Saccharomyces cerevisiae S288C: one gene and its partners. The protein of the gene in region 1 interacts with the protein of each later gene in a biochemical or structural test. Each region holds a gene or a part of one and is shown on either strand. Other genes may lie near its edges.

Region 1 (3,467 bases):
TTTATTTTTTCAAAATTTTTTTTTTATTTAGCAAGTTTCTCTATCTCCTTTGTATTCTAAAAGTAAATGGATGGAAAGAATGGATCTTTTCGTAGACTATAATGCTTCCTAAAATATACACGTATAGAATGGAGATTCCGACTTGTTTGGAGCCACCAATTGCCCTTTATTTGGTTTATACCAAGGGGCTCACGTAAAAAAAAAATCGATATGCAAAATCCTTCATTTCATGATGCAAGCTTTCGAAAGTGGCGCGGCGAGCAAAGTAGAAAATCAAAGACAGAAGCGTAGAATAAAAGCCCTTTTAATGGTAGGAATACGCCTCGATAACATCATGTATGCAATCTACAAGAACAGTGAACGCCGTTCCATCTCCGTAGTAACTATACAGGGGTTGAAATTTCGTTTTCGAAGGATAGTTGTTATGTAGAAAAGAGGGAAAAAAATATGAAAAAAAAAAAATATAGATACGAGAGGAAAATACAACAAAACATTAGTCATTAGAAGTCCCGGAAAAGATCAGCATATGGGTCTTCACCTTGAACACCGTAGTTGATGTCTTCTTCCGGGTACTTATCGAACTGTGAGGTGTCACCTTGTCCCTGTTGAATGGGCGGTTCATACGGCGTTTCTATGTTTCTAGATAATAATTTTTCCCAGACAACTTCTTTGAACCAGGGGTGGTTTTTGACATCTTCTGTACCATTTTGTAAATTACCTAGTCTTTGACTTAAGTCTCTTGTGATCAATCTACTCAACAGGTCCTTTACATCTTCGTTGAAAAATGGTGGAAATCTCAATTCGGCATTCAAGATTTTCTCATAGGTTTTCATCGTGTTAGAGTCGTAAAATGGCGTGTATCCTGCTAGCATTTCGTAAATCAGAATACCGAAACTCCACCAATCGATAGATTTATTATATGGTTTAGTACTAACGACCTCGGGTGCTATGTAGTCGGGAGTACCGCATAATGTATATGTGACGTCAGGAACGTATTTGGCAAACCCGAAATCTGTTATCTTTATATGCCCGTTTTTATCAAGCAAGATATTTTCCGGTTTCAAATCCCTATAAATAATGTCCTTGCTATGCAAGTACTCCAAAGCTAAACAAACTTCCGCTGCGTAAAATTTAGCAACTGGGTTGGGAAATCTTTGGGATTTCCTTAACAAAGAAAACAATTCTCCACCTTCAATATAATCCATAATCATGAAAATTTGCTGAGCATCTTGGAAAGTCCCCCACATTCTAATAATAAACGGATGTGTTACGATAGAAAGCATCAATCGCTCGTCGTTGGTATGCTCCACCTGTTTCAATCTTACCACGATTTCCTTTTTCAAAACTTTCATGGCGTAGTATCTGCCATTATGTCTTGATCTAATCAAATGGACCCTACCAAAAGAACCCGTACCCAGTGTCCTTAATATCTGAAAGTCTTGTAAACTATACTTCCCACTTGTAACTCTCGCTTGGGCAATAAACTGTTTATACTGCTCCTCATTGTAATAAGTGACATGTGGCTGCTTCGGTTTTTCTTGGGTTTCTCCACCCTCTTTTTCTACAGACTTACTTTCGTTACCGCTCTCTGTGGCTGTTGTTTCCCTTTCACTAGTCTCACCTTTTTGTGATTCCTCACCTTGTCTATCATCTAGAGACTTTTGACCACCTCCATTTTGTTCTTCAGTCGACATACCCAAAAAAAAGATTCTTTCACACAATCAGCTATAATTCATGCACTGCTTAAGCTAAGAGAACACTACTTTCTGTGCTACCTTTGAAGCCGATTGAAAATGCAAGCAAGCCAAACAAAAAAAAAAGTATAGGGTCAGATTCCTTAGCTTTATCAAATTAAAACTCTTAGATGGATACAATCGCAGCTTCTATGATGTTTCGCACCTAAAAATTCTCACGTTTTTCTGGCCAGAGATAGTAGATGAATATTTTTCAAGTTTTCAAGTAAAGGGATACGATATCCCCCTTGATTATTATGTCAAACTTTTACCAGATCCCGCCTTCCCTCCCCCCTAATAGCGCGAAAAAAAAGATCATCATGATTACGTAGAAAAAACCACAACAACACTATGTTGAATCATGTCATAAGCAAAGTCGTTAGGACACTGGCTTTGCAAGAACGAATAGCAGCACAGCTTCGAACAAGTAACTAAAAATATGTGGTGTATACGGTATGTAAATGTTTTTAAGGCCCGTCCAGCGGAGGGTTCTTGTAAATTCTTAGGAAGAATGTCAACAAGATGGCAACAATACTTGTTGAGAACGGTATATACATAAACAGACTAGGATTAACGGAGACAGTACTTCCATATAGCTTAAGGAGGATGGGAGGGATGACAAGCATAACACAGGACCTTACCAAAGCCATTGCTCCGAACATCTCGCCTGTATGTTTCTTAGAGGTGTACTTTATGATACCAGACTGCAAAGTTGGTGAACAAAACGCGCTCAATGCCTGTAAAAGAGCGAATATTATCATGGATGTGGGAGTTTTCTCGCCAAATCGTATCATGACAAAGAGACTCAGTGTTATAACAATCATAGAAAACTGTATGCAAAAGATGTCTATCTTGTCTATCGAATGGTTCAAGTGTTGATAAATCCTCTTTAGCGTGTACAGTAATGTAGGTGATACGACCAGTAACACAACACCTCTTCCGATACCCAGTATCGATATGAAATAACCTAGCTCTACTGCATGCCATTTGTACTCATATGTAGAAAACAAAATCAATGCTGGCATACACGATGTCGTTCCACAGACAAATAGTATATCGAGTACAATGAGTAATATTACGGTATGCCGGGGTACTAAAGACCCTGCACTGTCGGGCTTCAGCCATAACTTTTTTACTGGAGCGAGCAGGTCCATTAACCTCATTATTTGAAATTTTCCATAAGTAACGGATTGGTAATTTCTTGCATCGTCAGAACCCGATTGTGATCTTAGTTTCTCTCTCCTCTTTGTATAAGTTGATTGTGAATGGGCCATTTGGGTTTCATGGCGCGGTTCCACCATGATTGTCTCACATATTATAAGCGCCAGTATAACAAACGCTATTGATGTGTAAATAGGAATGAACCCGTTTCCATGAGTCCACTTCACCAGAAAGGACCCAAACATTGGGCCTACGCCCATAGTGGCATATATACAACTCATCATTATTCCTATTGTCACCATTCTGTGCTCAGTTTTCACTATATCTGAAACGTAACTATTTCCATTCGCCACTAGCGCAAACAAGCCACCGAATGATGGTACGATACACGCAGTAAGAACAATAGCCCATTTGTGATACTTCATTTTCGATGATAGGGTAAAGACGTGCGTAAGAAGCCCTATGACCCTGATGCCGCTCATGTATTTGAAAACACGCACTCTTCCTATTCTATCGGATAATTCTCCCCACTTACCAGCCATGAAAATACTGATTGCCCCTGCTATCATCATA
Region 2 (4,366 bases), on another chromosome or scaffold:
CAGCTTTCTAGCGAGCTAAGGAATGTATTCCAAATTTACTGCTCCTTTATTACGTCAAAAATTTCTATAGTATTCGATTCTCATTAGTAATTATAAAGGAGTAGCGAGAAAAACAAAAATAAAAGGGCGGAAACATAAAGATGGTAAATAAGACAGAGAATATTACCCGGAAACATACTACGAGATTATTGAGCTAATCTCCATGCACCAAAGTGGTTAGACATTTGGCTACATTGACTACTGCAACAATTACTTGAACCCTCTAATCCTTCTTACATATCTATTCATATGTGATTTCACAATGCTACATAAGCGTTTTTTATATAATTAAAGAGCAACTTTTCCTCACAGTAGATAAAAATATATATGCACGCTGTAAAGGAAAATTACATTAGGAACAAAAAAATCTAGACGCAAGTAACAAGCACATCGAAACTAAGCCTTTTTGTTGATTTCTTGAGCTTTTTCAAATTCTTCTTTAAATTTATCAGCATTTTCCTTACTGCCAAATCTGATAGCAAAAGTGAAGGCTTCTGCTTCACCTTCTGCAATATCTGCTGTACAAGCATACACCCAAGATCTATCAGAACCAACGTTAGGCTTCAAAGTGTATTCTGGAGCAATGATGTGGTTAGCACAAATCTTTAAGGTCTTGTCTCTTCTCATCAATATTCTAACCTTGTTAGTCTTTTTGTTCTTCAAGAACTTACAGTCACCAGTACCTCTTTCTTTCCATTCCTTGGCATCGGCATCGAATCTGAAAAGCTTGGCTCTGACCTTGTAAAGAACTTCTTCGTCTTCTTCCATTGTCTTAACATCTACCTTTTCCAGGTGAACCACTGGTTCAAAATGGATATCTGGTGATTCTGGAGCATCATCACCTTCCTTCTTGGTTTCCTCCTTGGTATCTTCTTCGTCTTTCTTGGTTTCTGGCTTTTCGGCCTTCTTACCACCAAACATGGAGAAGACAGCAGAGGATGGTGGCTTTGGAGCAGCCTCTTCCTTCTTGTCGACGACAGGTTTCTTATCTTCGCTAGACATTCTTTTTCTATAGTTGTGTTTATCTTCTTGCTTTTATTTCAAATTAAACAAGATCTTTCTTCTTTCTCCAATTGAATATCAATTTCATCATCAGATTTTAGTTTCTGTTTTATTTTTTATTTTTTTATTTTTTTTTTGTTTCTTGTTTTCCGCGTACTTCCCGCTGGGCGAAAAAAGAAATGAAAAAAAGAAACGACAGGAGCATCGTGTAGGACGAAGCCCCTTATCCCCTAGTTACCGAAGAAGGCCACCAATCTTAAGTTTGATAGAGCAGTACTTATATAAGGCTATATATAGACTGGTTCACAAGGTTATCAATATGAAACTTGCGCGATCACCGATTTACGGGATTTTTCAGGAGCGAGGTACAAGATTTGTTGGCCTGAAAAGATCGCAAAACATTAGCTAGAAATTTTCCCCCTATCGTTTTCCGTAGAGTAAATATAATATCAAGAAGATAGTTTTATATTGACTGATTTCACAACCAACTGCATAGATATAAGGAGATTACTAGATACAAGAACGCCTGATAAACAAAAAAAGAAAAATTAACAAAAAAAATCAGTAGAATGAGTCAAGTTAATACAAGCCAAGGACCGGTAGCCCAAGGCCGTCAAAGAAGATTATCATCACTAAGTGAATTCAATGATCCATTTTCGAACGCAGAAGTCTACTATGGCCCCCCAACAGACCCAAGAAAGCAGAAGCAGGCAAAGCCCGCTAAGATCAACCGTACGAGGACTATGAGTGTTTTCGATAATGTATCTCCTTTCAAGAAAACTGGTTTTGGTAAACTTCAACAGACTAGACGTGGTTCTGAGGATGACACCTATTCAAGTAGTCAAGGTAATCGTCGTTTCTTTATCGAAGATGTCGATAAAACACTTAATGAACTACTGGCTGCTGAGGATACCGATAAAAATTATCAGATCACCATCGAGGATACCGGTCCAAAAGTTTTGAAAGTCGGTACCGCAAACTCCTATGGCTATAAGCATATTAATATTAGGGGTACGTATATGTTATCCAATTTGTTGCAGGAACTAACTATTGCGAAAAGTTTTGGTAGACACCAAATTTTCTTAGATGAAGCTCGTATAAACGAAAATCCCGTCAACAGATTATCAAGATTGATAAACACACAGTTCTGGAACTCTTTGACCAGGAGAGTTGATCTGAACAACGTAGGCGAAATTGCAAAAGATACCAAGATTGATACGCCGGGGGCAAAAAATCCAAGAATCTATGTTCCTTATGATTGTCCAGAACAATACGAATTTTATGTTCAAGCTTCTCAAATGCATCCATCTTTGAAATTAGAAGTTGAATATTTACCAAAAAAAATAACGGCAGAATACGTCAAATCCGTCAATGATACCCCCGGTTTACTAGCATTGGCTATGGAAGAGCACTTCAATCCTTCTACTGGTGAAAAAACTCTCATTGGTTACCCTTATGCTGTTCCTGGTGGTAGATTCAATGAATTATATGGTTGGGACTCCTATATGATGGCACTAGGTCTCCTAGAAGCCAACAAGACTGATGTTGCAAGAGGTATGGTGGAGCATTTTATTTTTGAGATTAATCACTATGGAAAAATATTGAATGCTAACAGAAGCTACTATCTATGTAGATCACAGCCCCCATTCTTGACTGAAATGGCCTTGGTAGTATTCAAAAAACTTGGTGGTAGGAGTAATCCCGATGCTGTGGATTTGTTGAAAAGAGCTTTCCAAGCAAGCATAAAAGAGTACAAAACTGTTTGGACCGCATCTCCAAGGCTTGATCCCGAAACAGGCTTATCCAGGTACCATCCTAACGGTCTCGGTATTCCTCCGGAAACTGAAAGTGATCACTTCGATACCGTTTTACTACCATATGCATCGAAACACGGCGTTACCTTAGACGAATTTAAGCAACTTTATAACGATGGTAAGATAAAGGAGCCTAAATTGGATGAGTTTTTTCTTCATGACCGTGGCGTTAGAGAATCTGGACACGACACTACATATAGGTTTGAGGGCGTATGTGCCTACCTGGCCACTATTGACCTGAATTCTCTTCTTTACAAATACGAGATTGATATTGCAGACTTCATAAAGGAATTCTGCGACGACAAATATGAAGATCCTTTAGACCATTCTATAACAACTTCAGCTATGTGGAAAGAAATGGCCAAAATCAGACAAGAAAAGATTACCAAATATATGTGGGATGACGAGTCGGGGTTTTTCTTTGACTACAACACAAAAATCAAGCACAGAACGTCATACGAATCCGCAACTACATTCTGGGCATTATGGGCTGGACTTGCCACGAAGGAGCAAGCACAGAAAATGGTGGAGAAAGCACTACCCAAGTTAGAGATGCTTGGAGGTTTAGCTGCATGTACGGAGCGTTCTCGAGGCCCAATTTCTATTTCGAGACCAATTAGACAATGGGACTATCCATTTGGTTGGGCACCCCATCAAATTCTTGCTTGGGAAGGCCTCCGTTCTTATGGTTATTTAACTGTAACGAATAGGCTAGCTTATAGATGGCTTTTCATGATGACAAAGGCTTTTGTCGATTATAATGGTATTGTGGTTGAAAAATATGATGTCACAAGAGGAACAGATCCTCATCGTGTTGAAGCAGAATACGGTAATCAAGGTGCTGACTTTAAAGGGGCAGCTACTGAAGGTTTTGGATGGGTCAATGCCAGTTACATTCTTGGTTTGAAGTATATGAACAGTCACGCAAGAAGAGCGCTTGGTGCTTGCATTCCACCAATATCATTCTTTAGCAGTTTAAGGCCTCAAGAAAGAAACCTCTATGGACTATAGTTGAGATAATATATATATATATATATATATACTCCAGGTACAGTCCTCTAGGTACCTAAATCCTCTTTATATGATCTGCCGATAGATAGTTCTAAGTCATTGAGGTTCATCAACAATTGGATTTTCTGTTTACTCGACTTCAGGTAATGAAATGAGATGATACTTGCTTATCTCATAGTTAACTGGCATAAATTTTAGTATAGGTTAACTCTAAGAGGTGATACTTATTTACTGTAAAACTGTGACGATAAAACCGGAAGGAAGAATAAGAAAACTCGAACTGATCTATAATGCCTATTTTCTGTAAAGAGTTTAAGCTATGAAAGCCTCGGCATTTTGGCCGCTCCTAGGTAGTGCTTTTTTTCCAAGGACAAAACAGTTTCTTTTTCTTGAGCAGGTTTTATGTTTCGGTAATCATAAACAATAAATAAATTATTTCATTTATGTTTAAAAATAAAAAATAAAAAAGTATTTTAAATTTTTAAAAAAGTTGATTATAA
Region 3 (3,788 bases), on another chromosome or scaffold:
ATTTAGGACACTAATTGAATCTGCCCGCGTCATTTTTTATAAAAAATAGATTAAACCACCAAACGAAGGCCAGAAGCTGAACATAGTTCACTGGCATCTGCATTTATGTACCCATGTATAACCTTCCAAGTTAGTTCTTGGGAAACGAAAATTATATTGAATTTTTTATTGAATTTTTAGCGTATCCTTTCGCCATCCTGATAATCATGATAACCTTGAGGGAAGATTATCTTGCGATGGGAGGGATCAAATTTAGCAAATTTTGACTCTATGTCAATCTCGTTTCCAAAAATGCAACACCTCATCGTTATGACGACAATTGGAGACAAAAAGGTTAACAATAACATAATACTCTTTTTATAGAATACCTTATAAAATGTATGTTATTTAAGTAACTTATAAATCTTTATTTGAGTTGAAAAGAAAAACCATGTCTTTATATAAAATTTAAAAAATATAATTCAAAAAAATAATATCTTCATTCAATCATGATTCTTTTTTTAAACGGTAGAGACTTGCAAAGTGTTGGAGTGACCAGCACCGGCCTTGAAACCTTGGATGGAAACGTAAGTGTCACCCTTCTTCAAGATACCGAATTCCTTAGCCTTTTCAATACCGAAGTTGATACGGGCTTCAACATCATCAGTCCAGTCAGAGACAGGTTCCTTTTCGAAAACGAATGGGAAGACACCTCTGTACAAGTGAGAGAATCTAGCAGCTCTTGGGCATCTGGTAACCAAGATGATTGGACAGTTTGGTCTGTACTTGGAAACCAATCTTGGGGTGGTACCGGAAGTGGACAAGACAATGATAGCCTTGGCCTTTTGTTCGAAAACAGCAGCGACAGCGGAGGCAGCGACGGTTTCGGTGGTGGAGGTTGGCTTTGGAGTACAGTTTCTCATGTCATCGTAGTTTGGCAAGTAAGCGATAGCTTGTTCAGCAATGACAGCGGTTTCAGCCATAGTGGTAACGGCGTTGATTGGGTAGTTACCCTTGGCGGTTTCACCAGACAACATAACACAGTCAGCACCATCCAAGATAGCGTTACCGACATCGGAAACTTCAGCTCTGGTTGGTCTTGGGTTGTAAGTCATGGATTCCAACATTTGGGTAGCACAGATAACTGGCTTACCAGCCAAGTTAGACTTAGCAATCAATTTCTTTTGGACAGCCAAGACTTCTGGGGCTGGGATTTCAATACCCAAGTCACCTCTGGCAACCATAACACCGTCAGTGACCTTCAAGATTTCGTCGAAGTTGTTAACACCTTGTTGGTTTTCAATCTTGACAATGATCTTGACGTCCTTACCTTGTTCACCCAAGACTTCTCTGATGGTCAAAACATCGTTGGCGGTTCTGATGAAAGAAGCGAAGACCATGTGGACACCGTTCTTGACACCGAATCTCAAATCTTCCTTGTCCTTTTCAGACAAAGCTGGCAAATCGACATCGGTACCTGGTAAGTTGACACCCTTGTGGGAACAGATCTTACCGGCGTTCAAAGCCTTGACCTTCAAAGTCTTGTCGTCAACGACTTCCAAAACTTGGAAAGACAAAACACCATCATCAACGTAGATGATTCTACCAGCGGAGATGACCTTGGTGATGTTCTTGTAGTCAACGTACATGATCTTGTCGTCACAAGCCTTAGCGTACTTGTCATCGGTGGTGAAGATCATTTCGTGGTTTGGTGGGATTGGGTAGTCAACATCGTTGGTGGTGGTACCAGTTCTGATTTCTGGACCCTTGGTGTCCAAAGCAATGGCCAATGGTCTACCTGGGTACAATTCTTCGGACTTTCTGGCGTTGTCAATGACAGACTTGTGGTATTCGTAAGAACCGTGAGAGAAGTTCATACGGACAATGTTCAAACCAGCCTTTCTCAAAGCAACCAAGGTTTCTGGGTTGTTGGTCTTTGGACCGATGGTACCAATGATGGAGGTTCTTCTCAAGTCAGAACCAGCAACAACGTTTAATGAGGTCAATCTTTCTAATCTAGACATTGTGATGATGTTTTATTTGTTTTGATTGGTGTCTTGTAAATAGAAACAAGAGAGAATAATAAACAAGTTAAGAATAAAAAACCAAAGGATGAAAAAGAATGAATATGAAAAAGAGTAGAGAATAACTTTGAAAGGGGACCATGATATAACTGGAAAAAAGAGGTTCTTGGAAATGAAAAGTTACCAAAGAGTATTTATAATTCAGAAAAAAAAGCCAACGAATATCGTTTTGATGGCGAGCCTTTTTTTTTTTTTAGGAAGACACTAAAGGTACCTAGCATCATATGGGAAGGAAAGGAAATCACTTGGAAGACATCACAAGCATTCATTTACCAAGAGAAAAAATATGCATTTTAGCTAAGATCCATTGAACAAAGCACTCACTCAACTCAACTGAATGAACGAAAGAAGAAAGAACAGTAGAAAACACTTTGTGACGGTGCGGAACACATTTACGTAGCTATCATGCTGAATTCTACTATGAAAATCTCCCAATCTGTCGATGGCAAAACGACCCACGTGGCAGAGTTGGGTCAAGTGCCAGTTTCTGGATTAAGTAACAGATACAGACATCACACGCCATAGAGGAATCCCGCCGTTGCGAGAGATGGAAAACAATAGAGCCGAAATTGTGGAAGCCCGATGTCTGGGTGTACATTTTTTTTTTTTCTTTCTTTCTCTTTCAATAATCTTTCCTTTTTCCATTTAGCTTGCCGGAAAAACTTTCGGGTAGCGAAAATCTTTCTGCCGGAAAAATTAGCTATTTTTTTCTTCCTTATTATTTTTTTAGTTCTGAAGTTTGACCAGGGCGCTACCCTGACCGTATCACAACCGACGATCCGGGGTCATGGCGGCTATTTTTTTTTTTTTTTTTTTTTTCCTTGTGATTGTTTATTTACATTTGGATCAATTCTAACAAAAAAAAAATAAGGGGGGAAAAATAATTCACCTCTTTTTAATATTGTTTTGTACTGAGATTAATCTCCAAAATACTAGCATTGACACACATCTCAAGTCATCTCAAATAAAGTCGGAAAACCCCCCCTTTCCAAATAATTGAGGTGACGTTGCCATGAACAGGGAAGCAGAATTTGATTCGAAGACTAAGACCAAGCATACCCATTCTCATTTGGTCCTTTCTTTATTTTTACTTCAACTCCCTTAACGTTCGGAGAAAAACTCTGGTTATTCTTCATGCGATATAATTGGCGAAAAAAATCTTGTCTCATACGTAAAAAGTATTAAAAAAATTGCCCATTTTGTGCCCGCAGACAACTGCAACCTATCTTCAAAAGCCGAAAAGGAGGTTTTCTTCTTATTCGCTGGACAGACCCTCTTTTTTGCTGTTGCTTTATTTTTTATGTTTAGAAACAAAATTTCCCCGAGAGAAAGGGAAAATATGTGGAAAAAGAAAAAGCACTTCCTTACCAAACGTCATTCCATCCATGAAATACTTGGCCGATTGAACTTTTCATTTGGTCCAAATATGGAAGTGATAAACGATCTTACTCCAACGTAGATAAAACATTGATAGTAGCCCTAACTGATATTATGGCAAGTCGGCCACACCGCTCATTAGGACAATTCCTTTTTTTCCTTTTTTTTTCTTCTCACTTTTCGGCTATCGGAGCCTTTGATTTAATCGCCGGTGCCTACGTCTTTGGTGTGTATCATATCGGTCTTGAGTCCCATACTACATGCTCTGCTAATAATAGTCATGCAAGTAATAAAGGTAATTTATGGTGAGGGAGGCTTAGGAATATCTAATACTAAGTGCCTAAAACA

Evidence for each region. The genes of interacting proteins can lie anywhere in the genome.
Region 2: of the proteins of TPK1 (region 1) and NTH1, one has a biochemical effect on the other in vitro, tested with the Saccharomyces cerevisiae proteins (6 studies listed by BioGRID, with this or other methods).
Region 3: of the proteins of TPK1 (region 1) and CDC19, one has a biochemical effect on the other in vitro, tested with the Saccharomyces cerevisiae proteins (4 studies listed by BioGRID, with this or other methods).

What each region holds. Positions count from the first base shown.
Region 1 is NC_001142.9:109,466-112,932, forward strand, and holds TPK1 (cAMP-dependent protein kinase catalytic subunit TPK1), read right to left. Parts: upstream 1,695-3,467; coding exon 501-1,694; downstream 1-500. Other genes in the region: YJL163C (uncharacterized protein), read right to left, coding at 2,201-3,467.
Region 2 is NC_001136.10:449,720-454,085, reverse strand, and holds NTH1 (alpha,alpha-trehalase NTH1), read left to right. Parts: upstream 1-1,610; coding exon 1,611-3,866; downstream 3,867-4,366. Other genes in the region: Ran GTPase-binding protein YRB1, read right to left, coding at 436-1,041. UniProt on the Saccharomyces cerevisiae protein: Hydrolyzes intracellular trehalose to glucose. The disaccharide trehalose serves as a storage carbohydrate that is mobilized during nutrient stress. Regulates the level of trehalose as a protectant for cell integrity during heat stress.
Region 3 is NC_001133.9:70,001-73,788, reverse strand, and holds CDC19 (pyruvate kinase CDC19), read right to left. Parts: upstream 2,004-3,788; coding exon 501-2,003; downstream 1-500. Other genes in the region: YAL037C-A (uncharacterized protein), read left to right, coding at 271-363.